Linked DNA regions of Oreochromis niloticus. The protein of the gene in region 2 purifies or fractionates together with the protein of the main gene of each other region. This does not show direct contact. Links are inferred from orthologs where the notes say so. Each region holds a gene or a part of one and is shown on either strand. Other genes may lie near its edges. The genes, in order: kpna5 and chd8.

Region 1 (16,524 bases), on a different chromosome or scaffold from region 2:
AGGTCGTTGCGTGTGTTTCTCTTGGTTTAATCTCTATTATGTAAGTCAGTACAGGTGTGGTGCAACATTGCTAAAGTTTGGCAAATGATTACTTTAGTATTTTGATACCGAGGCAGCACTGCTCCTGTAGAAACGAGGCTTTACAGAAGCTGCACACAGAGCAGAGCTCGGAGTCTGTTGTTGACAGCCAGGTGAAAGCAGAATAAAATAACTTTGCAGCTACTCTGTTCAACTTTGCTCCAAACTGTTATTTCTCTTTTAGTAAACTGACTACAAAAACAAGAATCTTCCATTAAACGTCACAGACACACACCTTTGGAAAGCAATTTTCTGAATTTCTGTGTAGCAATTAGTTGATGGTCAGGGTCTTCAGAAAAGATCATCTGAATCATATCTGCTGTTATGACTCCATCCTGCACAAATGCATCAGACAGAGTTGATGTTTAGTTCAGACTACAGCAAAGCAAACTCACAGGGAGAAAGGGAGTTTACACTTACACCTGTGATGGGTACTGTGGAGCTGATGTCTGGATCTTGGATTGGACATTCCTGCATGGAGTCATCAGCTGAAGGTATGCAGACATTTCTTCTCTTGAACAGCTGCAGTCATACAGACAAAGCCAAACGACACATTAAAAAAAACCCAAAAAACTGCACAGACGTACAAATGTAAGTGAAAGGCTGCAGGAGACAGTAGTGATCAGAGCAGAGACGCAGCCTGAATATTATAAAGAAGTCCAGACTGAAAATGGAGACGGAGAAGAATCAGGACCAAAGTAAAGAGAGAAACACAATCCAGTCACTGTCAAAAAAACAACAGCTCAGTAAAATCAAATGTTAACCAAACACACAGACGAGTAAGAAGCCACATGGACACAACTCAAACTTTAATGGGAACTTGAGCCCCAGTTGCTGAGTGCAGTTAGCTGGCAGCAAAGGCAGAGGAGAGCAAACCTCACACCCTGATAGGAAGAACACAGCAGGTCCAAACAGGACCATAACAGTCCCACACGTGTTGAACTCGGTTAAGCTTAATTCCATTTTATACACTAAATGTTAGTAAAGATCACCTGTTCCTCTCTTTTTTGTTTGCGTAGCTGAATTCCTTCCTCTTCTCTCCTTCGACGCATTTCCTGAGGATTCAACGCTTTGTTCTTATAGCTCTTCATCCTGTAGTTGTCTTTCCCTGGACTCGCCATTGTGTCTGAGGATTTAAGCAGATCGATGCAATCATCATCAAATGCTGAAGCCTCGGTACATTTGAGTTTACAACATATGAAATGACATCAACAAGCAGCGTGTACGCGGCACAAATAGAAACACAATACAGTTTGTTTGGTTTGTGTGGGACAATTATAGAAAAGGCTCCTACAGTAAAGCTGCAGTTTGCATTTATCCTCACACCCTCATCACATTTACTTGCACTGGACGAGATTAAAATACGGCCTTTGCCATGACACTCAAAATTAAGCACAATTCAGTTGATTGGACATGATTTGGGAAGGCACGTGCCTGCTGTTATAAGATCCCGTAGAGTTGACAGTGCATGTCAGAGCACAAACTAAGCTATGAAGTTCAACAAATTGTCTGTAGGTGTCCAGGACAGGAACATATGAAGGCAAAGAAATGGGGAACGGTACCTAAAAAAACTTTTTGCAGCTTGATCAAACAAAGACTGAACTTGAATGCCAAGTGTCAAACCAGGCACCACCTAAGCACACAGAGTGGCTTTGGGACCACTCTGTGATTGTCCAGGCTGCTAGCAACACACACTACATTCTCTTATGTCCATTCGATCATTTCAGCAATCGCCCCCACAAATCTGCTGACATTTGTGAGTCCTTATAGTAATGCTATGATTATTATTTCTATATACTGAGTCAATGATTGTTATTCTCTCTTCCAATACATTTAAAACTGCTTGAAAAAAAAAGGAACTGGTAAAGCACAGTAGGAGTTGATGGCACTGACACATTATCTTTCTCTAGTTAGTCAATAGGGCGATTCACTGTCTTGACAAGTGAATGAGTGAGTTTGTGTCTGTAAACCTTTAAAAGACTAAGCGGTGTCTGCAGTGACGGAAAGCGAACATATTAGCATTCTCGAGTTTGCCCTGTGCTTTGATGCAACGCTTTTATGCTGCTGAAAAGAAGACATGATGGTGTAGATGGTAATTAATAATAATAATAATAATAATAATAATAATATCAATAATTCAGCGTCCAACCTAACAACCCTCAGGTAGGGGTGGGCGATATATCGAATATACCCGATGTATCGCGGGGTTTTCCATGTACATCGGTTAAAATGGCTGCATCGTAAAAACTGTCTGCATGTAATTCACTGTGAGGTTTTTTTCCTACCACACGCTGCAAATGCATCATTTATTCACACCTGCCAACTGGAAAATTTCCTACCGGCTGGAATGTGCCCAGCATGCGCGTTTATATACTACCAGACAGAGAGAATTATGGCGACAGCAGAAGTCTCAGATGAGCGAAGGAATGAGACTCGCTGTCGTTTGGATGTCGAACAAAATGCAGTATTTTTCAAAACATGCCATAAAACTATGCCACAAAAGGTAGCAGTACCACAAATTTATTCTACCGGCTTAAAAGTCAACATGAAAACTGTGGTAAGCTCCACATGTCAACGTCTCCCCACACACCAAGGAACACGTTAAATACACCAGCTGTGATACCTGTGACTGCTCTCAGCGGGTTTTATAGTCACTATCTAGACTTTTGTTTGTTTCTGTCAGCTGGACAGCTGCATCTAAAGGTCAAAGGTCACTCTTTCAAGGATGCCAATGTTCACATTTTGGACAGAGAACACAGATGATTGGAAAGAGGAGTGAAAGAAGCATCTATGTCCACTGTGAACGGCCATCTTTGAACAGAGGGCGGGGCTTACCACACAACCTGTCGTAAAACAAGCTTTTATTTTAATATGTTTAAATATCAACCCAATTCCACTTTCAATGTGAAAAATGTTACGAAAGCCTTGAAATGAATGTCGCCCTTTAGACTCAAACCCCTCTTTGCTGCAGGTATCGCTTCCATCCAAGCTGTATAACTTAAACATGGTCTCAGACCAAGTTAACATTTCATCTGCATAATTCAGAGCCATGCATTAAACGAAGTAAATTTTATAATCAAATTATTCGCATTACTCGATGAATCGTTGCAGTCCTACTTTCAACCCCTTATTATTTAAACTTGGTTACAAAATTAGAGTGCACTCTTTTTTTTGTTTTTTATTTGTTATTGTAGCCACAGAAAATAGCACAATAGAAGCAGTTCAACAGCAATTAAAGAGCAATAGTCCAAGTCTCCCACAGAATTTGCTAGAAACGGTACATCTCTGCAACAAAACGAACCACACCTCCAAAAGTAAAGCGCTTTTTCGAACAATGGCTTCACCTTCGGAACTTCGTTTCCATCTAAATCTACACCAAGTTTGAATCGTTTCGGGAATATTCAGCAAGTCGGAGAAGACATGCAGCATAACCTGGAAAACTGTAGAGTATTTAAGGTCACAGCAATCTCCACCTCCAAGTGAGTTCTCCTACCCAAGATCTTAAGAGCACCTCCACAGATGATGAGCGATAACGCTGACTTTCTTCTAAACTGAAGCGTTCTTATGGCTGTAAATAATGACAGCGATAGCCGCTCCTAAACTAGGATATTTCTTTATCAAGGAAGTGGACACGACCCGCTTTCCCGGTCAGGAAGGAGGTCATGCCTAACTGCTTAAATCACTCCCCTCTTGAGAGTATAGGCACACATTTAACAGAAAACATGAACATTGAATACCCACGTTATGCGATTTCGTAACACGTCGTTTTACTGGCTTGCAGGAACTAACCTCACTCCGTGAAACAAAACAAAACGGATTTTGGTCAAGTTATTCCTGGTTAGACCCTAAATTAGCTTCGCGAATAACTCGATGGCTAATGCTAACTTGTGGTCAACATCTCTGCTGTAAATTCAATGCAGCGGTTTTACTAACTCTACCCTTATTACGTAGCCTTCCCCGATTCTTACCCAGTGAAGATCTAATGTAGCTGAAACACGTACGGCTGTGAAATACCTACAGCTTCGACTACTCCCTCTGTTTCTTAATCCAAAATGGCGTCAAACTAAAACTTTCCCAGCAAACCCCGCGCGTCAACAACACCTCCGTTTCCGTCCACCGGTATAGTACGGAAAGCCGAAAGCGCCAAATCACCCCCATTTTCCCCATGGACGACCCAGCGCTCCACAAACATGAAGCCAAACGTCTCTTTCGCCCCCTGGTGTCTGATGCGGTATAGGTCACAGATCAGCGGATGGGACAAGAAAGTTCTCTTCATTTTTCCCAAAGATGCTTTTCTGCCATTATTAGTAATTCCCATCACGCTGATTTGTGTTCAGGGGGTCTTCTTTCGCATAGACTGATTCTGATTGTTAACTTGATACTATAAGAATCATTCACTCTGTAGGCCCTGTTGTTAATTAGATAGCAATGCGACACACCTGTGTTACTCTAATAGTCTCTATGTTTGAATGCTTCAGCACTCTCAGCACTCTCCCCAGAGATGACATCAGCTGCACACTCCACAGAGTACTGTGAAAGAATTGCCTGGAAATTAAATGTTGTCCTTGAAACAAGACTGAGGATGATATAAACCTGAAGATTTAAACAGTTTTAGATCCATGAGCACTCTACAGCTCGTTAGATCTAAAAACACAGCAGCAGCAGGTTTCATACAAGTGTAATTTGTTCTTTTGCATTTGATAACAGGATCCAAATTCCACATTAGAATCAGTATACTTTATTAATCCCTAAGGAAATGATGTGGTTACAGCTGCGCCAAGACAACAGGAGCAGACTGAACTAAATCAAATTATACATTATGTAACAAAGTTACAAAATAGAAGAAATACCTCAAATATAAATACCCAGAATATTAGAGAGATTAAATATATATGATGATATTATGATCGTCAACATTCAGCCTGGAAAAGACCTAATGAGGAGACCATCAGGACCAAACTGTGTCTCCTGGGTGCAGAGGTCTTTCATCACAGCTGTCCTGTGCCAGATCTCAGTGCAGGGATCAAGCAGGACTCGTAGTCTTTACCAGCACCTCCTTCAGTCCTGTAGAACGCTATACAGTAAAAATCTATATATTGTGGTGGACCACTAGAGGGCTCCACTCACACCCAGTGTTGAGGAAGTGTGTTCTTCTGTTTTGTGGCGCGATATGTCCAGTTGATGTTGGAGACAAATAAAGAAGGAGTGTGAACTGAGAGCTCTGTGTCGTAATGCTTACCTCCACATTGGTGACCCCGACGTGATCGAAACGCCGACCGGGGATACGGAAAGGTTCGAGGGGTGCCTGCGTGTGCCGGTGGATTTTTGAGCGTTGGCATGGGACACAAACCGCCGCCCATTCTTTCACCGTCTTGCGAAGGCCCGGCCAAACGAACCTGGCGCTGACCAGCTTGACCGAGGCCCGGACGCCGGGATGAGAGAGGGCATGCACCGAGTCAAAAACACGACGACGCCACGAAAGGGGAACCACCGGGCGGGGGCGGCCGGTAGAAACGTCGCAAAGAAGGCGCGGACCGCCGTCCCACACCGGGGTGTCCTCCAGCACGAGGCCCGTTTTCATTGACTGAAGCGCCAGGATGTCCGGGTCAGCATGCTGCTCGGCGGCCATGGCAGCGTAGTCGACGCCGACATACACTGGAGAAACCAACACACGTGACAGACAGTCAGCGACGTGATTGGACTTACCAGCCACGTGCTGAATGTCTGTGGTAAACTCCGAAATGGCCGCCAACTGGCGCTGCTGGCGTGCGCTCCATGGGTCAGAGACCTTGGACATCGCAAACGTCAAAGGTTTGTGGTCAACGTACGCAGTAAAGTTGCGACCCTCGAGGAAAAAACGAAAATGCCGTGTCGCGAGGTGCAGGGCTAGCAACTCCCTGTCAAAAACACTGTACTTGCGTTCGGCATCCCGGAGCGTACGACTGAAAAAGGCGAGCGGTTGCCAGAGACCTGAAACCCGCTGTTCCAACACCCCACCCACTGCCACGTCGGACGCGTCGGTGGTCAACGCGATCTCCGCCGACGGGAGCGGGTGTGCCAGCAGGGCGGCGTCAGCCAGCGCAGACTTGGCTGCGGAAAACGCATGGATGCGTTCCGGCAGCCAGTCAACCGGATCTTTGGCTGTTTTACCTTTTAAGGCAGCATAGAGTGGCTGCAGCAGGTGGGCAGCTCTGGGGAGAAAGCGGTTGTAAAAATTTATCATCCCCAAGAACTCCTGCAACGCTTTAACCGACGTGGGGCGTGGAAAAGCTGAAACGGCCTGGACTCTGTCGGGCAACGGAACCACACCTTCAGCGGAAATGCGGTGCCCGAGGAAATCCAGAACAGGCAACCCAAACTGGCACTTGGAAGGGTTGATGATCAGGCCGTGCGCTGCCAAACGCTGGAAAACCTGGCGCAGATGGGACTCGTGCTGGCTCGCTGAGCAGCTGGCCACCAATATATCGTCCAGATAAACAAAAACGAACGGCAGCCCACGCAAAACTGAGTCCATCAGCCGCTGAAAGGTCTGGGCGGCACCTTTCAGGCCAAACGGCATGCGCAAAAACTCGAACAAGCCGAAGGGGGTAATGACAGCGGTCTTAGGGACGTCTTCGGCGCGCACGGGAACCTGGTGTCGTAATGCTTACCTCCACAATATATTACATTGTCATTACTCAGATATGACTGACTCTGAATTACTTTATGGTAAATAACACACTATTGGCAAGACCCAGTGTGAAAGAATTCCTTGTTGAAGTTTTTATTTCATCAGGTGACGACCTTTGACCTTACATCAGGTTGTATTGAATGCTGTCAGAGAAAATCTCATGTTCTCTTTCTGCAGCTGACTACAGTGTTTAAAACAGAAGCTGTGCAGATCTGAGTTACTGTCTATGTGACATCATGGATGATGAATCATTTTGACTTTTTGTCTTTAACTTTAGTATAAGCAGGACTATCACCTCATCTCGTCACCATCCATCAGCTGATGATGCCAACATGGTTTTCTCTGTACAGTCTTTAATAGATGTCTACACCCAAAGAGCTCCCTGAATAAAGTACTTGGGGTCAAGTACACCAGAAATGTACTATATAGGAACCAGTCGTCATACAGTAGCACAGTTCTTGTCTAAAGAGACAGTGTAACACCTTCTGTCTTCATCAACACTATCAAAGGAAACATCACGTATGTAGTGAAACCATGTTGCTGCTCACTGATCACCTCTCTGAAGTTACCTTCAACCAGATAATCATTCTGTATTTGCTAACACTTAACAACCAAAGATTCCAGATTCTGATCCATCAGTCCATAATACCTTCTTCCAGTCTGCAGTAGTCCAATGGTGGTGTTTCATGGGCCAGCCAAGCCTCTTTGTCTGATTCTGACATCTGGCTTTCTTGCTGCAGCTCGTCCTGTCAAACCTACAGCAGGAAGTTCAATTCAATTCAATTCAATTCAATTCAATTCAATTTTATTTATATAGCGCCAAATCACAACAAAAGTCGCCTCAAGGCGCTTCACAGGTGCAGAGAAAAACCCAACAATCATATGACCCCCTATGAGCAAGCACTTTGGCGACAGTGAGAAGGAAAAACTCCCTTTTAACAGGAAGAAACCTCCGGCAGAACCAGGCTCAGGGAGGGGCGGGGCCATCTGCTGCGACCGGTTGGGGTGAGAGCAGGAAGACAGGATAAAGACATGCTGTGGAAGAGAGACAGAGATTAATAACAGATATTCAATGCAGAGAGGTCTGTTAACACATAGTGAGTGAGAAAGGTGACTGGACAGGTAAAACTCAATGCATCATGGGAATCCCCGGCAGCCTACGTCTATTGCAGCATAACTAAGGGAGGATTCAGGGTCACCTGGTCCAGCCCTAACTATATGCTTTAGCAAAAAGGAAAGTTTGAAGCCTAATCTTGAAAGTAGAGATAGTGTCTGTCTCCCGAATCCAAACTGGAAGCTGGTTCCACAGAAGAGGGGCCTGAAAACTGAAGGCTCTGCCTCCCATTCTACTTTTAAATACTCTAGGAACAACAAGTAGGCCTGCAGAGCGAGAGCGAAGTGCTCTAATAGGGTGATATGGTACTACAAGGTCATTAAGATAAGATGGGGCCTGATTATTTAAGACCTTGTATGTGAGGAGCAGGATTTTGAATTCAATTCTGGATTTAACAGGAAGCCAATGAAGGGAAGCCAATACAGGAGAAATCTGCTCTCTCTTTCTAGTCCCTGTCAGGACTCTTGCTGCAGCATTTTGGATCAGCTGAAGACTTTTCAGTGAGTTTTTAGGACATCCTGATAATAAAGAATTACAGTAGTCCAGCCTGGAAGTAATAAATGCATGAACTAGTTTTTCAGCGTCACTCTGAGACAGGATGTTTCTAATTTTAGAGATGTTGCGCAAATGGAAGAAAGCAGTCTTACATATTTGTTTAATATGTGCATTGAAGGACATGTCCTGGTCAAAAATGACTCCAAGGTTTCTCACAGTGTTACTGGAGGCCAAGGTAATGCCATCCAGAGTAAGAATCTGCTTAGATACCATATTTCTAAGATTTTCAGGGCCGAGTACAATAACCTCAGTTTGATCTGAATTAAGAAGCAGAAAGTTAGCGGCCATCCAGGTCTTTATGTCTTTAAGACATTCCTGCAGTTTAACTAATTGGTGTGTGTTACCTGGCTTCATGGACAGATAGAGCTGGGTGTCGTCTGCATAGCAGTGAAAATTTATGCTATGTCTTCTAATGATGCTGCCTAAGGGAAGCATGTATAATGTAAACAGAATTGGTCCTAGCACTGAACCCTGTGGAACACCATAATTGACCTTAGTGTGTGAAGAGGACTCTCCATTTACATGCACAAATTGGAGTCTATTAGATAGATATGATACAAACCACTGCAGTGCAGTACCTGTAATACCTACAGCATGTTCTAATCGCTCTAATAGGATATTATGGTCGACAGTATCGAATGCTGCACTGAGGTCTAGCAGGACAAGCACAGAGATGAGTCCACTGTCAGAGGCCATAAGAAGATCATTTGTAACCTTCACTAAAGCTGTTTCTGTGCTGTGCTGAGCTCTGAAACCTGACTGAAACTCTTCAAATAAGCCATTCCTCTGCAGATGATCTGTTAGCTGTTTGACAACTACTCTTTCAAGGATGTTTGATATGAAAGGAAGGTTGGAGATTGGCCTATAATTAGCTAAGACTGCTGGGTCTAGAGATGCTTTTTGAGTAAAGGTTTAACTACAGCCACCTTGAAGGCCTGTGGTACATAGCCGATTATTAGAGATAGGTTGATCATATTTAAGATCGAAGCATTAATTAATGGCAGGACTTCTTTGAGCAGTTTTGTAGGAATGGGGTCTAAAAGACACGTTGATGGTTTGGAGGAATTAATTATTGAAGCTAACTCAGAAAGATCAATTGGAGAAAAAGAGTCTAACTTAACATCGATGGTACTGAAAGTAGCTGTAGATAATATTACATCTGTGGGATGATTATTGGTAATTTTTTCTCTAATGATAAGAATTTTATTTGTGAAGAAGTTCATGAAGTCATTACTAGTTAACGTTAAAGGGATGGTTGGCTCAGTAGAGCTCTGACTGTTTGTCAGCCTGGCTACAGTGCTGAAGAGAAACCTGGGGTTGTTCTTATTTTCTTCAATCAGTGACGAATAGTAAGATGTTCTGGCTTTGCGGAGGGCTTTCTTATAAAGCAGCAAACTATTTCTCCAGGCTAAATGATGATCCTCTAAATTTGTGACATGCCATTTCCTCTCCAGCTTACGAGTTATCTGCTTTAGGCTACGTGTTTGAGAATTATACCACGCAGTCAGGTACTTCTGATTTGAGGCCTTAGTTTTCACAGGAGCTACAGTATCCAGAGTCGTACGTAGTGAGGAGGTAAAATTATTAACAAGATAATCGACCTCTGTTGGAGTAGCGTTCAGGTAGCTGCTCTGCTCTATGTTGGTACAGGGCATTGAAGATGATAACAGTGGGTGGATTATATTCTTAAACTTAGTTACAGCACTTTCAGAAAGACATCTACTGTGATAAAGTCTACTCTCCACTGCTGTGTAATCAATTATTGTAAATGTAAATGTTATCAGGAAATGATCAGACAGCAGAGGGTTTTCAGGAAACACTGTTAAATGTTCAGTTTCTATGTCATATGTTAAAACAAGATCTAGAGTGTGACTAAAGTGGTGGGTGGGTTCTTTTACATTTTGAGAGAAGCCAATTGAGTCTAATAACAGATTAAATGCCATGTTGAGGCTGTCATTTTTAGCATCTACATGGATGTTAAAATCACCCACAATAATTATTTTATCTGAGCTGAGCACTAAATCAGATAAAAAGTCTGAGAAATCAGACAGAAACTCTGTAAGGCCCAGGTGGACGATAGATGATAACAAGTAAGACTGGTTTCTGAGTTTTACAGCTGGGGTGGACGAGGCTAAGCATCAGGCTTTCAAATGAATTAAAAGTCTGTCTTGGTCTTTGGTTGATTAATAGGCTGGTGTGAAAAATTGCTGCCACACCGCCCCCTCGGCCTGTGCTTCGAGGTTTCTGGTAGTTAGAATGACTCGGGGTGTTGATTCATTTAAACTAACATAATCATCCGGCTGCAACCAGGTTTCTGTAAGGCAGAGTAAATCGATTTGTTGATCAATTATTAAGTCATGTACTAACAGAGACTTGAAGGAGAGAGACCTAATATTTAATAATCCACATTTCACTGTTTTACTCTTTGGTTCAGATGTGGATACTGTATTGTTCTTTCTTTGTGATTTTTTATGTTTAAGTTGTTTATTGCTGGTTTTTAGTTTGTTTTTTCTCTGTTTGGGAGCTGACACAGTCTCAATGGAGATGGGTTTTTGGGGGGGTAGCAGGAGGAGAGAAGCTGCAGAGAGGCGTGTAAGACTGCAACTCTGCTTCCTGGTCCCAACTCTGGATAGTCATATTTTGGGGGGTTTAATAAATTGGTCCATATTTCTAGAAATGAGAGCTGCTCCATCCAAAGTGGGATGGATGCCGTCTCTCCCAACAAGACCAGGTTTCCTCCAGAAGGTTTGCCAATTATCTATGAAGCCCACATCGTTTCTGGGACACCACTCAGACAGCCAGCAATTTAAGGAGAACATGCGGCTAAACATGTCACTCCTGGTCTGACTGTGAAGGGTCTTCTCTTCACAGCTGAAACTGAGACTTGCTTACTACGACCACTATCAAGCTGTGCTTGAAGCTGTTGTCCTGTGAGCCGCCTATCACACTGTAACTGATTCAGTCGTGTCTTTGGGTCTGCAGACCTTCCTGTCACAGTTTGTTTCTGAGCCTTTGGATGCTGAAGGAAACTGTACTCACTGACACCTTGACTTTCTTTGCAGTTTCTCTGTAGGACAGACCTACATTTATAAGTGTTATGATGGTCTGTCTCTCTTCCATTGTTAATGACCTTTTTCTCACCATTTCTGTACCAACACACTACTTTCTGCAGTACAGTACCGTTCATCTGATGCTCATCAGGGTACCACAGTGTGTCCAACAGACAGAGGGGGTTGGACCTGCAGGAATTAGTAGCACCAACTTTCAAGTCTCGAGTCTCCATTGCTGCAGAGCAGCTTTAAATTGTTAACCCATGCTGTGTTCCCTGAAAAAGACCTTTTTTTTTATAATTCTGAAATGTGCATTATTTTTCACTTTTGGTTTACCACATATTTTATTTCAACCTGGCAGTTCATCACTTGTTTGTTCTATTTTAAGATATTCATTGGACTTAAACTTGAATTGCATTAAATAACTGGAAAAATTGGGCTGTTCCAAACATTTTCATCGGTAGTGTGTGTATATATATGTGTGTGTATATACACACACATATGCTCTACCTGCTCACATATGCTTGTGATTTAATCTTATTTATATGTATATGCACAAAGGCTCCGGCCCAGGACCGTTGAAGCAACAATGCAACCACTGCTACACATCTTAGACTCACTTCCAAATTAAACTATTTGAAGGAAAACTGATGTAACAAACTGCTAAACATGCCCAACTTTCCCACAGTGTTACAGCCATCAAATTCAGATTTGGAGTTAGTCAGTCCAACTACTACAATCCTACTTTGGTCACGTAAATAACTGCTCACCTGATTTATTGTCACAGAATGTTTTTACTGCACATTGGAAAATATTCCAGTTTTTCTGGAAATGCGGTCACATGTAATAGAGTATAGTTACTTCAACCTCAGCAAAGCAAGACTTTTATTCTCTGGCCATACCTGACATTTTAGTGCCCTCACCTGGACAGAAAATCGCTGACACTGGGATGAGCTTAAAGACAAACCCCCAGAGGGAACACACATTTTTATCAGAGTTAATAATCGAGGCAGTTGAAATAAACACCAACTGTTGTGTGTGTCTGTGTTTTTAAACAATTTCCTCTCCTTTCATTCTGAGTTTGTAAAAAAAAAAAAAAAAAAAAAAAAAGCAGACATGTCCTTAATGGCCAGAAGACGGCGTCCAGGGCAAGAGCAGCATGTTCCTACGATCATGCTTGAAGCCTTTGAATTCCACCGTCCTGCTCTGCCTTTAGTCTTCATCACTACCCATCTCTATAGGGTCAAAATCTGGGTCATCTTCATCCAAATCCAAGTCCTCAATGTCCTGGAATAGTGACTCGTCCACTTCAACGTTGTTTCCAGCTGCATAAGAAGAAAGCCACGGGGTTAGAAGAAACTTCACAGGAAAAAGATTATTCCTACCAAATCCACACACAGCTGTTCTCTCAACAGACCCAGATGATCTGTGACCCTTACACAGCAATCAGATCTTCCCCCAGCTAATTGCGATATATCACTTAGAAAGTCACATTTTTTTCTCCCTTTCACTTGTCTCTGCCTGCTGCCAATCCATATCCATGCTCAACCGTTCCTGTTTCTCCCTAGCCACACAAACACAAAGGCAATTCCATCCACTTTCTGCCACTTATCCAGGTTCGGGTCACCGGGGTCTGAAGCCCAGACTTCCATCACCCTGGGTACCTCTTCCAGCTCATCTGGGCAGACAATGAGTTGTTCACAAGCCAACCAAGACATATAATCTGTCCAGCAAGTCCTGGGTCTGTATGGGAGCACCCACCAAGTAGGACACGCCCAGAATGCTTCACCCAGGAGGTTAGGGGGGGCCTCCTAGTCTGATGCCTGAACCACCTAATCTGAGCAGCGGCTCTACTCTCAAACAGCTGAGCTCCTCAGTCTATCACTAAAGGAGAGCCTTCAAAGGAAGCTTACTTCTGCCACTTATATCTGCAAATTTGTTGGTTTGGTTACTCACCTGAGCTCATGAGCACAGGTGAGGGTAGGAAGGCAGATCGCAGTAAATCAACAACTTCGCTTTTACGCTCACTTCTCTCTTCACGATGATACAAAGTCTGTGGCTCAATCCTGACAAGCTCACATTCCACTCTCCCCTCACTTGTGAACAAGACCCCGACATACTTAATAGAATAGAATAGAATAAAATTCAACTTTATTGTCATTGCACATGTCACAGGTACAGGGCAACGAAATGCAGTTTGCATCCATCCAGAAGTGCTTTAGCCGTGATATAGATATATTACAATATATATTAGCATTAATATAGATATGCAAGTATATTACTCCTCCACCCGGGGTAGTAACTCATCCCTGACACAGAGTTTGACTCCACCCTTTCAAGATGAGAAGGTCTCGGAAACTGAGGTGCTGATTCTGAATCCAGCTGCTTCACACTCGGCAGCAAACCGCTCCAGTGAAAGCTGGAGGTCACCACCTGATGAAGCCAAGAGAACCACAACATTCGCAAAAAGCAAAGCTGAAATCCTGATGCCACCAAAACAGAGACCCTTCACTACCTGCTGCACCTAGATACCGTCCATAACAGAATCTGTGACAAAGGGCAGCATCCACCAGAAACTAGTCCGACTTCCTGCCGACAATATGGCCGTCACTACACGTACCTAACGCCCTGTAACGACAGACAAGAGACCTCATACTCCTGAAGGATAAACCCGTCGACTGACACCGCTGGGATCTACAGCAATAACATCGGAATGTCATTTGGACTGTTGAAGCGTAGTCGGATGGTAACAAAAAAATGTTGGTCGGGAATTGCACTACTAGAAGGCAACACTGCAGATACTGAGTACAGCTATAAGTATCTTTTAATCCCACAAGAAAATGGAAACCGTAAAGAGGAAGCTCTGAAAACTACAACCACCAAATACCTGCAGAGAGTGAGGCAAACCCGAGGAGTCTGCTGAATGGGAAGAACAAGATCCGAGCAATCAACACTGCTGGGATAATAGGATGGCCAAAGGAAAAGGTGGAAGCCACTGAGACCGAGGCAAGAACGTGAGCGTTTCACCCCAGACACAGCACACTGAGACTGTACACTAATAGGAAGGGAGGAGGTCAGGGACTACTGAGTGTCAAAACCACCATCCCGAATGAAACAACCATCCATCAGCCCATCATGACTGATCATGTGCCTAGTGAATACCTCCAAACACAGACGTCCAAACAAGTGTTATGTTTAGATTCCACTGTCCTATAAATGACTCAGTTTAGTCCGTATAACAAAAAGAAGCAGAACACTCAGAAACAGTCCTTACCATCTTCAAGGAACTGAATGTCAGATGTGTCCAGGTTGTGGTCTCTCTCAAACAGCTGTTTACCTGGTGACAGATGCAGGGTCTTCAGTCTGGACACGTATGTCATCATCTTTACAGTTTTTGATGTGTTTGAGTAACACCACGTACCTGTCAGTTTGGGTTTTCCTGCCTGCTCTTCCTCTTTCTGCTTTTTCCTCCTCAGTTCAGCCATTTCCAGCTCAAACTTGGCTTTCCATGCCAGGAAGTTTTCAATGGTTACCACTGTTCCCTGGAAAGCCACCTGTTGAAAGCAACTACTGTTATAATGGAGTAAAACCTTGGTTGATTGTGTGCACTCAAGCAGAGGGTGAATGGTCATAAATCCAGTCTGGATTCTACCTTCTCTGCTTCCTGGGCCTCTTTCTCTTTCCTCCGCTTTTCCTCTTCTTGCCTATTTTTCATCACATCAACAATTGTATTAAGTTTCTCTTGAACAGCTGTAACCAGGGTGAAGATCATCACCATGCCCAAGTTTTCTTCTGCCTGTACAGTGAACACAAACATACAAAGCACACTGCATTGATAGAGCCACATTTCACCAACTGTCCAAGAACAGTGCAACACTTTTGGTTCTTTTTTTTTTTTTTTTGCAATAAGGAGATGGAGAGATGTCTGATGTCACCTACATTTCTATCATTATTATTATTGCTGTGTAGTTTAAGGAGCTTGGAAAGAAAGGTTCTGTAAGGTTCTTGGAGATGTTTCACTTCTCACCTGTGAAGCTTCTTAGTTCACATAAAAAATGCAAAATTGAAAGTAAAGTAAATTTTCTCATCAAGCGTATCCTCCCGCTGATGCGTTCTTATTTGACTGTCACAGACAAATCTATGAAAAGTTTGGACACAGCTTCTCATTCAATGGTTTTTCTTTATTTTTACTACTTTGGACATTGTAGATACAACACGAAGACATCAGATATATGAGCAATGGAGTGCTGCACCGTGGCCTGGCCTCCACAGTCACCTGACCTAAAGCCAACTGAGATGGTCTGGGATGAGATGGAGCGCAGAGTGAAGGCACAAGGGCCAACAAGTGCTCAGCATCTGTGGGAACTCCTTCAAGACTGTTGGAAAACAGCATTATGGTATTCTACACTTTCTGTTTACTACATAATTCCACATGTGTTCATAGTTTTGATGCCTTCAGTGTGAATCTACAATGTAAATAGTCATAAAAATAAAGAAAAACCATTAAATAAGAGGTCATGTCCAAACTCCTGACTGCTCGTGTATGCCCTGTATAAAGCTTACATCAATCTGATACTCTGAATTATATTGATAAAAATAATACATTTATCAATCCTTTTAAACACTTTGTAAACTTTTAAAGTTGTCTCCATCTCGCTGCATGTCTGACATGCTTCACTGAACAGTTCAATGAACATACACTGTTATTAATATGCAGACTGAATCATATTTCATTAAAATGTTGCTTTAGTCGTGCCCATGGACCAGCTGTACAAATGTTGTTTCTAAAAGTCTGGAGCTTTAAGATTCAGCAGGATTTCTTCCATTTCTTCACAGATTCCTCTTAATGAGGTTTGAGCTTCATCTAAATCACAAATGTAGACACACAGCAGTGAAGCTGTCATCCAAGGCACTGGGCTTCCATCTAAGCATCTGGAAAGATCTAGAAGCCACTAATTAGCCCTCAACCAGCACCAGACCCACGACTGCCCAGATAAATCCAATGACAGACCTGCTGTTGTAACAGTGTGAGGATATCTTCTGTGTCACTCTCCTCC
Region 2 (16,193 bases):
GTCATGCAAACGAAACTAAATTATGGCTTAAGACAGGATGCACCAGTTTCCAGTAACGATCCAGTCCAATCTCTGATTGGGAGATTAACTGTTGTGCGACCGCAGAATATGCTGCAATACTGTACATATATTCACAGTGGCCGGAGAGTGAAGCTTCACAGCAGATCACACATTTGGCATGGCTACATATTAGGGGAATTTGAAAATGCGAAAATGTAGAAATGTAGGAATTTATAGAAAAACTCTACCTGAGCGCATTCACACAGACAGCTGCTTTTCATTCTGTTGGTGCATTTTTCTCAGCTGTCCTTGACTTTTCTTTTCGCAGGCCTTTCAGTCAGATGACACAAAGTAAGTCCAGAACAAACTAGTCAGACTGTATTAGGACTCGTCCTGAGCTGTGTTATGTTGATGTGTGTTGGGGTTGTCATGTTAGGGAGTATTTTTATACTGGAAGCTTGAGAGAAAAGAAAGATAGAGAAACAATGAAAGACACAAAATAATAAAGGTGTTATTTCATTTGTGCTTTTGATTTGTAGGTTATTAGCTGAGCTGAACAGTCCACTTTACATCCCTGATCCCATCAGCGCAGACAGGAAGCACATTCTGGAGGACATCGAGAGCAAGTACCGCGAGTTCATCACTGCTACCCTCCGCTGTCTCAGTGAACTCAAAAGGGAACTCTGTGAGTGGAATGAATGCGTGACACTTACCTGCCCCGCTAATGATTTTAAAGAAATAGCTAGACATTTTGGGGAATGAAGCTTGTTAGCTTTCTTGTTGAACTTCAGAGCTTAACCCACATGTCAGAGGTGCTCTGCTGGACTGAGATCTGGTGACTGTGGAGGCCATTTGAATTCCAGTGTAATGTTCAAGAAACCAGTTTGAGATGATCTAAGTTCTGAGTGACATGGTACGTCATCCTGCTGTAAGCAGACATCATAAAACGTGGCCATAAAGGAGTAGACATGACCAGCAACAATATTCAGGAACGCTGTGGTGTTTAAATAATGCTCAGTTGGTCTTAAGCTGAGGCTCCAGAGTGCAGTCATTTACATATTCAACTTAGAAGTGAAAGGTCCCTGATCCTTTCAATTCCAGGCAGAGTTACATCCCTCTGAGGTTGCGTCCCCCTTAACAATCTACCAAGCCAAACATCCAGTGCTACCTGCTGTAGCAAGAGAACAGCCAAAAGTAGCATTAGTTGGTATTAAGGGGCCCAAAGTGTACCAAGAAAATATTGCCCACACTATTAGATACTGGGCAAGATACTGAATAGATAGATAGATAGATAGATAGATAGATAGATAGATAGATAGATAGATAGATAGATAGATAGATAGATAGATAGATAGATAGGACCAATGGCATCTTTGGTATGATGAAGGACTGTAAGCAGTTTTCTATGTATGTAACTATGTAACACCTCTGTAGTATATAAGTTCATGTGCAGTGTTCCACATTGGGTCCAGGTAAGAGCAGTGCAGGTGATTGCCCTATGAACTCACAGCGAGCCAGTGAGATGATCTCCTGTTGTGTGCTCCGTGTAAGAAAGCACAACTTTGGACCTGATTTTTCTTGACATTGTTTGGAGTTCATGTCTGATAAAACCTAAAGAATGTGTTTGTGGGTGCTTTCATTAACACGTAGATGTCATTTGCAAATATTTCTCAGTTGGTTTCTATGGTTCACTGGAGGACACACTTGCCGACACTCAGAGACTGACAGCTTGAGCAAACAAAACAAAAGCTTTAATAAGATGCTGCTGGTAACTTACAAGAGTCTACGCAAATTCAAAAGCAGCAGACAACAAAATCCCAAATAAGGACACAAAATCTAAGCTGGCACTAAAAACAGGAAGACAAACATAGTGATCAACAAAGGCAGAGAACAGAGGAGCACAGACAAATACAAAGGTAGAGACATGAAGCTGAATACACCAGCAATCTGTTTAACAAACTCTGAGTCTAATGCTGACCTCTAATCCCGAGAAGAGAAACTCAGTTTTGAGTCCAGAATAGCAAATCAGAGTCAGTTCAACTCTGAATATGTTTGCATTGAGCTAAATAAAGAAAGCATCATCAATGGAGTTAAAACCATGATTAACCATCTATGAATGTGTTGAATAAATAGCAGATGATGTTTATGTTAAAAAGCACGAGTTTAATGACCTGAATTTTCTTCTTTGGGTAATGAAGTTGGAAGCATCATGTTTGTAATGCTTAAGTTTAAATATATTTATTCAGATGTAACGCAGTGGGGACAAAATGAAGCTGACAGCAATTGAGGATGTAGGTGTGGCTCAAAAGCATACATTTATAAATCTCTGTTTTGCATTTTAAAAGTTCTGTTTTGCTCCATAGAAACGGGCGAACAAGTTTAAGTACTACGAGGAAAGTAACTAAGATTTTTCTCTCTCCTTACAGTAACCAGTCCCTTGAGTCTGGACACAAACACAGCTCATCCTCTGTTGAGCATCTCAGATGACCTGCGCTCAGTTACACGAGTTAAAAACCGCCTGCCCTGCGCTGCTCATCCCGAACGTTTCGACCACTGGCCGCAGGTCCTCACCGTCCAGACCTTCTCCTCTGGGACTCACTACTGGGAGCTGGAAGCCGAGGGATTCTGGGATGTGGGCGTCTGCTACCGAAGTATTGGACGAAAGGGCAAAGAAGGCAATGCATTTGGGAACAACAAGGTACACGTGTGCCGCAGAGCCACAGTGGTTGATCACGCTCATTCCAGTGTTAGATTTTGTGTTTTCTTTGCTAACTAATAGAATGAGCAGGAGCCTCTGTTTGATGTCTGTCCCTGACATCTCTCAGTCTGTTTGGCATCAGTGAAAAAGATGATTTTTTGCTTTGAACACCACATCATTCATTCAGTCAAAAGTGAACCTTCTTTCTATTTTCCTCTGGTGCACTAAAGCAGTTCAACAATTGTATTCCAGTTCTATTCTTTCCTCGTCTATTCTTATGTGTACGTTTAATTTTATGTTTAGGTTTTTTCCTAAAATCACTGCCCTGATTTAACCGTCAGTGATCAAAGCATATTTTGCAGAAGGATGAGAACATTTACAGTGATACATGTCCTTGTCAACCACATGCAATTAAAGATAAAGCCAATACTTCCTTGGAACGCTGCAGTGATTTGTGCTCAATTTAAAATATAAATCAGTTACTAAAATTATCGCCAGATCAATTTTCCCCACATCAGTAATTGTTTGATAGTAAAGTTTCAGCTGACATAACAACATCTTCCTTGATTAAACCCCTTGTAGGTTTCATGGAGCTTGACACAGCAGCACGACAAAAAGCTAGCCGCCTGGCACAACCGCAGGAAGACCCGCCTCACATACCAAATGACTGGGAACCGCGTTGCTGTAGCCGTGGACTACAGCTCAGGCACCATCACCTACTCAGAGGTGGGACCGTCTAACAACCTGATCCACCTCCACACTTTCTCCACCACCTTTACTCAGCCGGTGTGCCTGGGCTTTGGTCTCTACAAAGCTGAGCTCAACAGTCGGATCACTATTGTTAAAGTCTGATGTGATGAGAAGGACAGCCGGGAGGATGATGATGATGAACTCTGTGCTGTTTTGGCCATTCCAAAATAAAGTGCTGTTGTTTTTTCCCGTCTGTGTAACTTACATAAACCTCTGTTGGAGCCTTTGCCATGAGCTGCTGTTTCTCTGCTCCCTGCTCTAAAACAGAGCTTTACCTCTTCCTCACCAAAGAGACAAAACTGTGTCTTCTAAAGCTGCGATCAGCTGACATGTGAAAACATTTCCAGAAGACACTCAAAGGGAATTTGATACTTCCCTAAACACTAGATGGAAAGGCTCATTTTAAAGGGGACCAATTATGTTCATTTTCAACTAAATATTTTTATATTATATGTTGAACTGTACTGTATAGACGCACATATGTTGGTGTCATTGTTTGAAACTTTAGTCATTTTTAATAATCCAGCCTTGTAGCAATGGATGTGACAGAAAACAAGGAAAAGCATATTAGGTCCCCTTTAAAAAAGATACAAATTAGCTTTAGATCAGGCTGCAACATTGTTCAGCACTTTGATTCCACAGTGATTAGAAATAAGGATGACTGTTGTGTATAAAGTAATGTAGTTGTAGAAAAGCTGGAAATTTGTTTGGCTGATATTAATAAGATAAACTTGAGCCTTTTTCTCACTCCAGCCTTTCTTAAACATCCCTGAAGCTCTACCTCTGGTTTGTGATTTCCTGTCTGTATCTAGGAGTGTCTAGACATTTAGTGCATGATCAAAGAAAAGCACAAAAGCAGCATCTTTATGGATCAAACGGTGCTGCGGATCCAGGAATCCAGCTCTATTTACCACATGCATAAAGACCTGGAAATAAATCTCGCTGTCTTGAAGATAGCGAAGGATCTTTTGATTCTTGTGAGGAGATCGATGTTTTGTTTGGGAATTACAGGGGGAAAAAGAGGAGAAAACAACTGCCACTCACTTTCTAACTTTGCTCTTTGAAGCTGCTCACACTTATTTATCTTTTATATTACTGTAAAGGTGAGTGGGCGGATGCAGCATAAAGGGTGAGAACGAAGCAGATGGAAAGGAGGGAGAGAGATAGAGAGAGAGAAGGGAAGGAACAGGGAGATAGACAGAGAGATGAGAGCAGTCTCTATCTTGGTTGCGATCAGCCATGCTGTGAATTAATGTGACAGAGGAGCGGAACAACAAGGATATTTCAGTCCTTCAGATATGGAATACACAATCCTTTGCACGGGAACAGGTGATCTTCTGTTTATTACTTTTATTATTTTCATAATCTCATAATTTTGTAGTCAGATCATGTTTAGTCACTTTTGATGAATAGCACAATGAATTGTGTAATACCTTGAATGAGGAAGCATGTTGCATTTGTCTCTGAATAACTTTGTTGAAGCTTAGAAGGAAACGTTTTCACCCTGTTGCTGATTTTGCAGAGATGAATGGATGTTATTTCAAAAATGCTACACTTTGAAATGGCATTGGAGGCAGGGGGCTTTGCATTTTACTCATTTCAGTGAGCTGAACCAACAGAAAGTCTTTCGAACCTGCAGAGAAGATGAACGTGTGTACGTGCGGCTGCAGCGTGTATGAGTGTGCGCAACAAGAGGCACAAGTGGGAGAAAGAGCGAGTGTGTGTGGCAGACAGATGGTCACTCAGTGGAGTTGTTCCCCATCTCTCTCTCTCTGCTTTCCCTCTGGGTCCTACATCCTCCCCCTGTCACCTCTCCAAAGTCTTACCTCATCTTTTTTTTTTCCCTCTCTTCCACACCTTTTCCATCCTCGTCTTCAGCCCGGACTTGGATCTTCACTCACCGTTCCGCCCCTTATCTTTTTTCTGTCTCTCCCTCTCTTCCCTTCCTCAGCTACATCTCTGCTTATTTTTTGCTGACGACATCAACTTGAAAATATCAAGAGATTTTTTTTCTGAGTGTCATTCTGGACCCTGTTGACACAGCACAAAGGACACTGAAGAGATTTGGGGATTTGTGTGGGGGTCAAAAAGGGGGAAACTTGAAAGAAAAGACTGACAGATATGACCAGCAAACCAATCTGAGTTAAAACTGCCTGAAAAACATAGACTAAATTTAAAAGAAAAACAGGTTTTCTTTCTCTTTCTGTTCTGATATAGAGTGTTTCTTTAGCCATAGCATGTCTATTTATTCTGCAGATTGCCCAGAGTGACTATTGTCCTTAGAAATTAGAGATATTTGAGTTAAAAAAAAAAAAATCTCAGGTTCAGTCATGCACCTCGGGTCAGTCCACCCTGACATCCTGCTCCTCCTGGGCATGCTCCTGTTGTGGGGACCTTTGGGATCCAGGGGCCAGAATGACACAGAGCCCATCATCCTCGAGGGGAAATGTTTGGTAGTGTGTGACTCCACGCCTTCGTCCGAGCCTGCCGGAAACGCCCTGGGCATGTCGGTGCGCTCTGGCTCGGGTCGGGTGGCCTTCTCCGCCAGCCGCCAGACTAACCACGAGCCGACAGACATGAGCAACCGCACCATGATCATCTACTTTGATAATGTGAGTTATCAGATATCTGTGTTTATTATGCCCATTTGTAACATACTGTGGCAAATTGTGATAGGTTTACTCTTTACAGTACAGAATGGGCAAATTAACACACACAAAAGCCTCTGTGCTATCATTGGTCAGGTGTCTTCTCCCACTGGGTGTGATAATGAGCTGATTGCTAAACTTTTGAACCTGTAGTGAAGCCACATAATGACAACATGGTTGTATTATGCTGCACAAGCTGCATGTCCATGGACATTTTAGGGGGAGGGAGGGATGTATGAAAATAGGTCTCAGTAGTTTGGAAGTAAGCGATCTGAACAGATGAAAAGAATGACCCATGTCGTGACTTTATCATCCCCCCTCTTTTTCCTGCTGTCCTCTCAGATTTTGGTTAACGTGGGCACTCATTTTGACCAAGAAAGTAGTGTGTTCCTGGCACCAAGGAGGGGGGTGTACAGCTTCAACTTCCATGTGGTGAAGGCCTACAATAGACAAACTATTCAGGTACGCCCACTCGACTCTGAGACTTATAGCTGTCGTTCCAGTGGATCACTCTCTTAATCTCGCTGGTTCCCATCTCTTAGGTTAGCCTGATGGTGAACGGCTGGCCAATGATTTCAGCTTTCGCTGGGGACCAGGACGTGACCAGAGAAGCCGCCACCAATGCCGGCCTGGTGATTATGGAGAAGGGCGACAAGGCCTACCTCAGACTGGAGAGAGGCAACCTGATGGGAGGCTGGAAGTACTCCACATTCTCAGGCTTCCTGGTTTTCCCCTTGTGAGAAAGATAGAGGGTTGAAGCGCTGCAAAGTGAGAATGATTAAGAGAAAAAAGGGGAAGAGGTGGTGGGGAAAAAGAAAGGCTTCAATCTGTAACCTTATATAGTGCATGAAAAGATGGCTTTTATGCAAAAATGAGATGATTGTTCAAATGGACCAAAAAGAAAATGAGAGTAGACGTCAAACAATTTCTCTGAGGAATTCATTTGCTCTGTTTTGTTTTGGGTGTTTTTTAATGTCTAAATGCTTGTTATAGGAGATACTTTGTGGCAAAATTCTAAAGTAGCCATTTAAAACGTGGGCTTCTGTGCTAGAGTACCTAAAAGCTTCTGTTCTTAAGTGTTTCAACACTGCTGTGCTCCACATGCCATCCTGTCAATGTTTGAAAAAATCTCTTTATTCTTGTGTGCTGTATGACTGGTGTTCCCCTATATGCCTGTTAGTATAATGCAACAAATGTTTATTTACAAAGAAATTTCTATCAAAGACCAAATAAAATAGTCTAAATCTGGCTCAGTATTTCACTTTGAGTATGCAAGCAGGAATGCTTTCAGACAATATCTGATGAATCACCAAGACTGCGACGGTTTAATCTGCTTATACAAGGCATCCCTTCCATTGTACCCTACCCAATGCCATGGCAGCTGTTTGTAAATATAGATCCCACCAGCAGAGTTGGCGTTGGCATGGACCGAAGGGACCAGCGTGGGACCCGGTATGAAGTGTGGTGTACGGTGGATGCTCCTTACAGGGCCGCAGACAGATGGAGGCTCTGTCGAACAGGCAAGCTCATCTCTGCAGGGCTGCCATGGATAAAGTGTGGTGTGCTGTCACATGTAGTCACTTACGCTTCCGTGGTTCATGCCCACCATCTCTCTCTCTCTCTCTCTGACTTCCTTTGTCATTTTCATCCTTGCGTTAACAGAATTATACATTTATGAAATTAAGATGATGAGTAAAAAATTCATAAAAATGGAAAAAGCCTAGATATTAATTCACGCTGTCATATTAATGCTCCCAATGAAGAATCTCTTATAATATTAACCTCAAGTCCTATGCAGGAAATAATGGCCTTTCTAAATAAATCTCAGAAAACACAATGAAATCTTGCAGTGTTTGCGCAAATGTTAAAGTGCTTTTCTTTTTTATACTTTACACCTAAAGGCCACTGTACTGATTGGTTCACTCTTCAGCCACGTAGAGTGGATAACCTCCGTTGTGCCCCCAGCCCCACAAGGACCTGCAAATACAACAAACTGTCTTCAAAGCCATTGGCAATTCATTTACTTCAAGATTTGCTCCACTCAAATATAATTGTATCTGTGTGGCATTCCTGTGATCTGACCTCAGAGGGCCCTATGTAGAAATCTAAGTATGAGATTATTTAAGCTTAGTTTACACTTATATGGTCTAATTAATTTGTGATTAAGGAAACTGACAAAAAAAAGAAAAAGAAAAAAAAAGGAATCTGGGGTAATAAGAGCCCTTTTCTGTCCCAGTGCCCTGAAAACTGCATACATAACAGACTGAAAGCTAGTAATTATATTTTAATGTTAGGCCACTAGAGGGCACCAAAGCTTAATTTAAAAAAAACTGAATCGCTTATGAAAGCGCCAGACCATTACATTAATACCCAGAGGAAGCTAATATTAATGTTCCAGGTGTACCAGTAACCTTGGGAAATATATAATACGCCCTCGTCGTCTGGTTATATATATCTAGAAACTAACAGACCGATATGACAACAGGTCTTCATTCATTTAATGATGTAAGCTGATTTCTGGGCTATGGCCAGTGTAATAAACCGCTGAAAAAAATTGATGGTGTGCCATTAACAAACAGGTCTTTTGACCGTGCAGTCCATGAACACTTCAGTTTATTAAAACAATGTCTATTTTTTTCCAGCCAGCTCTAAAACTGCTGCGCTTCCTATTTCGAGCATCTACAACAGCGAGACAGCAATGTTGAAGATCACCGAGCCAAACGATCCCAACTAGGCCGCATTTAGTGTTACTTCAACCAAACTATGACTCTCATCCCGCCCGGTAGCGGCAGTACGTCTGATGGACAGCTAGTCGAGCCAATGAAATTGCCGTATGCTGCCGGCTCGGGAGGAGGCTAACCAATGATCGTTTCACGGCACCAGAGGGGCACGCTTTCTGAGCTTTCTCTGGCAAGAATGTTAGTTCCTGCTCTCTCCTGGCCGTTTCCTGTAATCGTACAGTGTTGTGAGACTCAGAAAGCCATGTGTGTCGACGCAAAGGTAAATTTAGCACCCTGAAATTATTACTGTGAGAGTTGGGGCAGTAGATATGATGGTTATTTTCACGTATTTTTGCCGAAAATAGACGCAGGCCAGCCGAAACAGCAATGCGGCCTAACCTGTGTCTGAACGTTGACGGGCAATGGTTATTGTGGCACGTTGCTTTGGTTTGGTCCGGTTTGTTGATGATATTGAAGGAGTCCGGTGGACTGAATGGTTGATAGTAAATGACTGGAAAGCGAACTAACGGCGAAGAGGACACAATTCATCGTGTTTTTGAGTCTGAATGTGTTTACGGTGCCACACACGCCTTTGTAACAGGCACATTTTTGTAGCGGTAGAAGCTAATGCTAGCCGACGGTTTTGTGAGAAAGACTGCAATACGACCTGAGAGGAAAGCATCCTGTCTTTCCAGCATCACTGACCTAATCGTATGACTTCACTGCTCGCTATTTTCATTCACTAAATGTTATCTGCGTACTTTCTCTTTATATGTTAACACTTAAGCCGACGAGCACTGTTTTTGTGTTTTCAAAGCTTTTAATTTCACTTTGAAAGCGTTTCTGGACGGTGTGGCCACGAGTTGGAGGATGAATTCAAAAACTATACTTTTAATGTTTCGTCTCTAGTTTACAAGCTGCTACATCCTTCTAACATTATTTTATTTTATTTTATTTTTTTATGCGGTCCATTAACAGTACTAACCGGATAATTTCCACCACAGCCACTAAGATAAATAAAAGCGTGTTTACATAAAGTGATCCTTGTTTTAGTAAACTGTTCATGTCCTTTTAACCCTTAAGAGATTTCCACTAATTATGATCTTCATATCCACCAGAAAACCAAAATAAAAAAGTACAATGAGTATATTTCTTTGCTTCCCCCCTCCTTAACTTAAGAACCCTTGTACTAACCATTGGAGCCGTCACTTCACAGGTCTGAGAGACGTTATGCTGTAATAAATAGTGCAGCATTTCTTTGAACAAAGTCAGTAAGAAAATTGTGTCTAACTGTTGTTTCCTTTCCCTTCACAGCTGATTATCTAAAAATTGAGAAGAACTGGACAACAACTATTTAGTTTCCATCTCGGAGTCTTTTTAACATTGTGCCCATCTCCCTGTGTGGAGTGGGCAAGATGGCAGATCCCATTATGGACCTCTTTGAGGACACACCCCTGTTTAACTTGGATGCCCTACAGGACGACTCCTTTTCTCAGGGCTCCTCGGACCCGGTTGAGGAAGCGTTCAAGCTCGCTCTGGGCCAGGTGGATCCAACACCAGAGTCTGAGCCTGCTCCTGAGCTCGCATCTAACACGAGCCTCTGTGTTCCTGTAGAAGCTCCAGCCGTTCCGGATCCAGCCCCTGTTCAAGTCCCCACACAGCAGCCAGTGCAAGTGGCAACTCCTCAGACCATTTCCATAGCTGTAGCGCCTCCTATGACCCCTGCTCCTGGCCCTGCCCCTACTCCTACTGATACTGTGAATCAGATACAGGCCCAGACCACCATACCAATTGCCAGCAATGCCAGTGGGGCCACCAGTAGCACTGTCCTGTTGAGCTCGCCTCTGACTGTTTCTAGCTCTCCATCTACAACCACCGCCACCACCCAGCAGCTCACACAGATAACCCACCAGCTTACTCCCCAGCAGTTAGCTGCCATTACGCAACAGGCTGGTGGCAAAATTGTCATTCTCAAAGGTCCCCAGGGTCAAGCACAGGTGCTACAGACTGTATCAGGAGCCACGGGTCAGACTGGTGGAAAGGTCATCCGTGTAGTGTCTGGCACACCACTCAAACCCGGCATGTCCATCCTGCAGGGCGGAACAGTCTTGAATCAGGTAGGCCCAGGACAAACACAAGTGAAGGTGGGTGGTGCAGGAGTGCAGAGGCTGCTGCAGTCTCCTAATGGACCAGTGAAACAGGTGTTGCTCACGTCCATGCCCCAGCAGGTGCAGCAGACACAAGGCCAGCCAGTTCAAGTGCAGATTCCAGCAACAGCACAGATAACTCAAGGCCAAGTCCAACCCCAGGCTGCCCAGATTCAGGTCCAGGCACAGGGCCAAGTGCAGCTCCAAAACCAAGCTGCTCAGATCCAAGTCCAACCCCAGGCAGCTCAGATCCAGGTCCAGGCACAGGGCCAAGTGCAGCTCCAGCCAGCTATGCAGGCCCAGACGCAGGTAAGCAGACTACAAAGTGTCACCAGGTGACATTTGTTATACCATCAGGATAACTGCTGATTTCATGTTTTTTAATTAGTTCAGTTATAAATGTCCTTCTGCATTTCTCATTCTAGGGTGGAGAAGCGAAACGCATCACCTTGGTTCTTCAGCAGCCCTCCCAGGCTGGCTCTGCAACTCAAGCAGGTCAAGCTGTTGCAGCCCAACAGCAGGTCACCCAAGTCCAGCAAGTTCAGACGGCACAAGGAGGCCAACCTCAGCAGACCCAGGCCCCAACTAAACTGGTTCTGGGTCAGCTCCCCGGGGGAAAACTGGTGCTCCAGGGGAGCCAGCTAGCAGCCCTGACCCAGGCACGAGCTGCAGGCCAGGCTGGAGGGCAGCCCAAAGTTCTCACAATTCAGCTACAGGTGCAACAACAGCCCAATCAGCAAGGTGGTGTTAAGGTGAGAAACGAGTGCTGTAGGAGTTAGAGGTCTCTGCTTGTTTAACAGTGTTAATAAGTTTGAGTTTTGATGGCATGTTTTTGGGAAAATCATTCAAATTGCTCTTAATTTCTGTTGTTTCAAGTAAGTGGGGCCTTGAAGGTCTTTTTGTTGTTGTTGTTGTTTCCTTGCCCATCATCTTGAATACCGGTCTGCTTTTAATTTCCACCATTCCCAAGTACTATAGTCCTGAAATCTGTGAAAGTTTGCTCCTCCTCAAAGGTGTCACTGTGTAACTAATATTTTAGTTCAACATGTGTACCAGAATACACAGTGCTTCAGATGTACAAATGTAATGTTCTGTGTAATATGAGGTGACAAGGCAAAACACCTTGGCTTTGGAAATGTCTTTTAGCCAGGACAGATCAGACCAGATTAATCACCATCTTGGCTCCACTGACCGGTATCAGTTAGTATTCAGAGGTAGTTTCTCTGAACAGCTGAAGAGCATTGATTGTTTTGAAATGCACTTTGTGGTATGTGATGTGGAGGGACTGGCAAGCTTGGAGATAAAGGACGTTGCATTTTAAATATATTGACATTCTCCCCATGTCTTTGTTATGTGATATTTAATGGCTTCAGGTTGAAAAACCAGCAAATTTAGGTCTTTTAATAGGAATGTTAAGTTTATTATTACTCCAAATAATCAGATTAGACACACATGTGTGTCTAATCTGTGTCTAATCAATGTGTTCGTCTTTCTGTCAAGTTATTAGCAATTTTACATGGTCATTGTGGGTTTTTTATTTTTGTTTGTTTTGAGTTTTTTTAAACCAGTTTAAAGCAACATGACAGCAAAATTTTGAAATACCTTTGCTGTGTGTGCGTGTGCGTGCGTGCGTGCGTGCGTGGCACTGTGAACGATCACTACAGTAGCAACCCAACAGGCAAACCATGAAACAGGAAGGACTCATGCTAGTTTATCTCAAGCATTTGAACTTTCACAATAAGACAGAGCAAACTGTCTACTAGTAAACTGATAACATAAAGGCATTGTTTATTTATTTTTATTTTTCAGGCGTGTGTGCGTGTATTTATGATGTAGCCCACTCAAAGTCTGTATGGGTGGGAAACACCACCTAGCTTAAAGCAAATTTTGGAGTCAGAAGGAAGTCTCATCCATGTGCTAGAGGTTGCTTTTACAATTCGTATGCCATCCAGTTTTAAAAACTTGTTAATACAACTTATTCTCGGAAACTTACATTTAAAAACATCTTAATTTTTAGGAAGTGCCTTGTTATGTTTTCTTTTAATCTAATACTCAGTTTGTTTGTTTGTTTTTAAATCAGTCTGATCAATCTGTAACTTGATGTGTCTCGTTCATGTGCGCAGTACCAGCTGGTTTCAGGAGCTGGGAATACCGGCGGCCCTCAGGTGTTGCAAATATCCCAAGGCCAAGGAGGGCAGCGAGTGGCAGTACCACTCAAAATGCTTCTGCAGCCACAGGTAGACCTCTAATCTGCAGATTTCATTTATTCTCTACGTTAAAGTGGGGCTTTTATTGTGAACTCAGAGAAATTACAGAGAAAAATGTATTTTAATTTTGTAAAAATGTAATGTATTTTTAACCTTCTCTTTAACTCAGACAAGTGCAGCCTCATCCACTGGCGGCACCGTCTCTGTTGTGAAGGTCATCAACACTTCAGCAGCAGGACCGTCTTCTACAACTACCACTCCATCCCAGGCCATCCGCATTACCAAGGCGCCTGGAGAGCCTGCCTCTGTGCGGCGAGTGGAGATTCTCTGCAAGCAAGAGAAAGCTAACCGTATAGTGGCTGAGGCTATAGCTCGGGCCAAAGCTCGTGGTGAGAAGAACCTACCCAGAGTCCTTAACCAGGATGAGCTTCCAGCTACGCAGTCTTCCCCAGAAATGGGGGGTACCGTGACGGTGGTGTCAAGTGCTAAGAAGAAAACCAGCAGTGGAGGAAGTAAGAAGAAAAGCCCTGTGTCTGGAGGAACGGCACCCAAAACCGCAGGAGGGCCTGACAAAAAGGGAAAAGTCAAGGCACCAGGGGGAACAACTATAGTGGCGGGAGGCACAGTAATACCCAGTGCTGCGAACAAGAGCAAAAGCAAAGCTAAGGCAAAGTAAGCAAATGAAGATGTCTCATTTAAATGCACAGCTTATTTCTGTACATTTAGAAATGCAGCTTTGAAGAAAACCATATTTAACCCCCACCCCCCACCCCCACCCCCATCCTACAGTACTATTACTCTAGTTGGAGCAAAGAAAAGAAAGAGAAATGCGTCCTCAGACCACTCTGACGGGGAGTTGAGTCCTGCGTCACCTGCTGCGCTGGAAGATGACATGATTACGGTACAAGCACATGCATGCTCATAAAATCATACAACTAGACACAACAAATAGTGTTGAGCCATCCTTTTTTTTCTTTTTTTTGCCCCACTGTGAACACTTCATAATCGTACGGTTTGTTGGTAGCAATTGTTGACAGTACATTGCTCTGATTTGATGTCTTTGTGATAATAATTGCCACATAAAATAAACAGAAGATTAGGAATATGTGGAGTACTTCCACAGTAAAGACTTGTCCTAATAAAACCACCTGGTAGTTGCAGATGAGTAGCCTCCCTTCCTGACTCAGGTGGTTGACACACATCCAGTTATGTGCTGGGACGTCCCAGTTATGAACCGATTTGGAAAAAGGGGGCATATAAGTCAAGATACCACAGAAATATAATGAATTCTGAATAAAAACTGTCTAATGACACTCGGATCCTGCTGCACAGAATACACGTTTAAATTGCGCCCCTCTCTCATCAGAAGAGACGCTCCAATCGTGTGGTGAAGAGAAAGAAGTACACCGAGGATCTAGATATCAAGATAACGGATGATGAGGACGAGCAGGAAGATGTAGATGTTACTACAACCGCGGCAGCTGTGGCTTCCATCAGCAGTGGGGCACCAGTGCAGCTCAAACAGGAAGTGGAGCTGGATGGTGATGGATTGCCCAGTATGCAGTTCTTTGTGGTGAGTGTGGAACAATACCATTTCTTCTTATTGTCACGATGAGACGGATGCTAGTTGTGTGTATTTTGGGCTGTTTGTTTGTTTTTATTCACATATATGTATGGCTATTTGTGATGTTTGTAGTGTAAGTTTTTTACATGTATATATTTTACAGGAAAACCCAAGTGAAGAAGATGCTGCCATTGTAGACAAAATTCTCTCCCTGAGATTAACCAAGAAGGAAGTATGTTCACTTAATTAATTATAATGATTAAATTACTTAATGTAATTTAAGTTGTTGCGGGCATGATGGCTTCAAATTTGCTCTTTTATTTTTAAGGTGTCTCCAGGCCAGTATACAAATATTGAAGAATTCTTTGTGAAATACAAAAACTAGTAAGTTGCAGTGTCTCTCTGAGCATCTTTGACTCTGGCACGTGACACTTTTTTTTTTTTTATTGCTTGAGGAGATGGGTGAGTGAGTAAAAATGAGTACAACTGCACACTCTGGTTTTCAGTTCATACTTGCACTGCGAGTGGGCCACTTTGGAGCAGCTGGAGAAAGACAAGAGGATCCATCAAAAGATTAAGAGGTTCAAGACCAAGCAAGCTCAGATGAGGCATTTGTTCCAGGAGGTGAGCGGGAAGCACACGCTGAAACCTGTCAGTTCGGGTGTATCTCAGTTAGATGCACTTATCCTCATGCTGTCTGTGGCTAATGCTATTGTTTTCTTTAGGACGAGGAGCCTTTTAATCCAGACTACGTGGAGGTGGACAGGATCCTGGATGTGTCCCACAGTGTGGACAAGGACAACGGCGAGGTGAGAGATGAGGCATTAACCTTTGGCTATGTGGCCTAATTTTGGACATGGTTCTTTTGACCTCCCTTTGCAAAATTGCAAATTACTTGTGTTAATTCCCATTCTCTCTCGTCCTGTCAGCCTGTTATCTACTACTTGGTGAAGTGGTGCTCTCTGCCATATGAAGATGCTACTTGGGAGCTGAAGGAGGATGTGGACGAAGGCAAGGTTGAAGAATTCGGCAAGATCCAAAACAGACAACCTCGCCTTAAGAGAGCGGTGAGCAGTCATGTAAAAGATATAGAAATATATCTGTGTGTAATGTTGGAGGCATTATGTTGTGGCGTCTGATAGTACAACCATGTATTCTGTTGAACACAATATTACAGTGATGATCACAGCCACTGACGTGAAATTGTCAGGCCATAAGCCCAGAAATAGTATTGGTGACTGTAAAATGTGGAAGAGCACGTGATTGTGAAGATGCTGGCTTGGATGAAGATGTGTATCCAGCATCCGTGTTTTAGAATCCCAAACTACACTTAAATTAAACAATGGTGGGAGGAAGATGTAACTTTAAGTTTATCCCTGTGTTTCTCTGTTAAATGTTTAACGTAAACAGTTTAGAGAGACGCTTTATGTGTAACAGAAACAAACTGACACAACCCCCA

Evidence for each region.
Region 1: the proteins of chd8 (region 2) and kpna5 purify together in Homo sapiens (affinity purification with mass spectrometry; 3 studies listed by BioGRID and IntAct, with this or other methods). This does not show direct contact. The link is inferred for Oreochromis niloticus from reciprocal best matches to the Homo sapiens genes CHD8 and KPNA5.

The regions. Positions count from the first base shown.
Region 1 is NC_031976.2:1,265,440-1,281,963, reverse strand, and holds the start of kpna5 (importin subunit alpha-6), read right to left. Parts: upstream 7,575-16,524; 5' UTR 7,471-7,574; coding exon 7,398-7,470; intron 4,204-7,397; exon of another isoform or gene 4,047-4,203; intron 4,025-4,046; exon of another isoform or gene 3,820-4,024; intron 1,205-3,819; coding exon 1,071-1,204; intron 601-1,070; coding exon 499-600; intron 414-498; coding exon 314-413; intron 1-313. Other genes in the region: rwdd1 (RWD domain-containing protein 1), read right to left, coding at 12,680-12,792, 14,742-14,804, 14,889-15,021, 15,120-15,263, 16,479-16,524. UniProt on the Homo sapiens protein: Functions in nuclear protein import as an adapter protein for nuclear receptor KPNB1. Binds specifically and directly to substrates containing either a simple or bipartite NLS motif.
Region 2 is NC_031982.2:7,070,054-7,086,246, forward strand, and holds the start of chd8 (chromodomain-helicase-DNA-binding protein 8), read left to right. Parts: upstream 1-8,940; 5' UTR 8,941-9,096; intron 9,097-10,130; 5' UTR 10,131-10,231; coding exon 10,232-11,272; intron 11,273-11,388; coding exon 11,389-11,715; exon of another isoform or gene 11,716-11,838; intron 11,839-13,086; coding exon 13,087-13,200; intron 13,201-13,339; coding exon 13,340-13,842; intron 13,843-13,959; coding exon 13,960-14,071; intron 14,072-14,536; coding exon 14,537-14,743; intron 14,744-14,897; coding exon 14,898-14,966; intron 14,967-15,062; coding exon 15,063-15,118; intron 15,119-15,240; coding exon 15,241-15,358; intron 15,359-15,459; coding exon 15,460-15,543; intron 15,544-15,663; coding exon 15,664-15,801; intron 15,802-16,193. Other genes in the region: trim110 (E3 ubiquitin/ISG15 ligase TRIM25), read left to right, coding at 540-551; cbln12 (cerebellin 12), read left to right, coding at 5,779-6,060, 6,439-6,558, 6,639-6,836. UniProt on the Homo sapiens protein: ATP-dependent chromatin-remodeling factor, it slides nucleosomes along DNA; nucleosome sliding requires ATP. Acts as a transcription repressor by remodeling chromatin structure and recruiting histone H1 to target genes.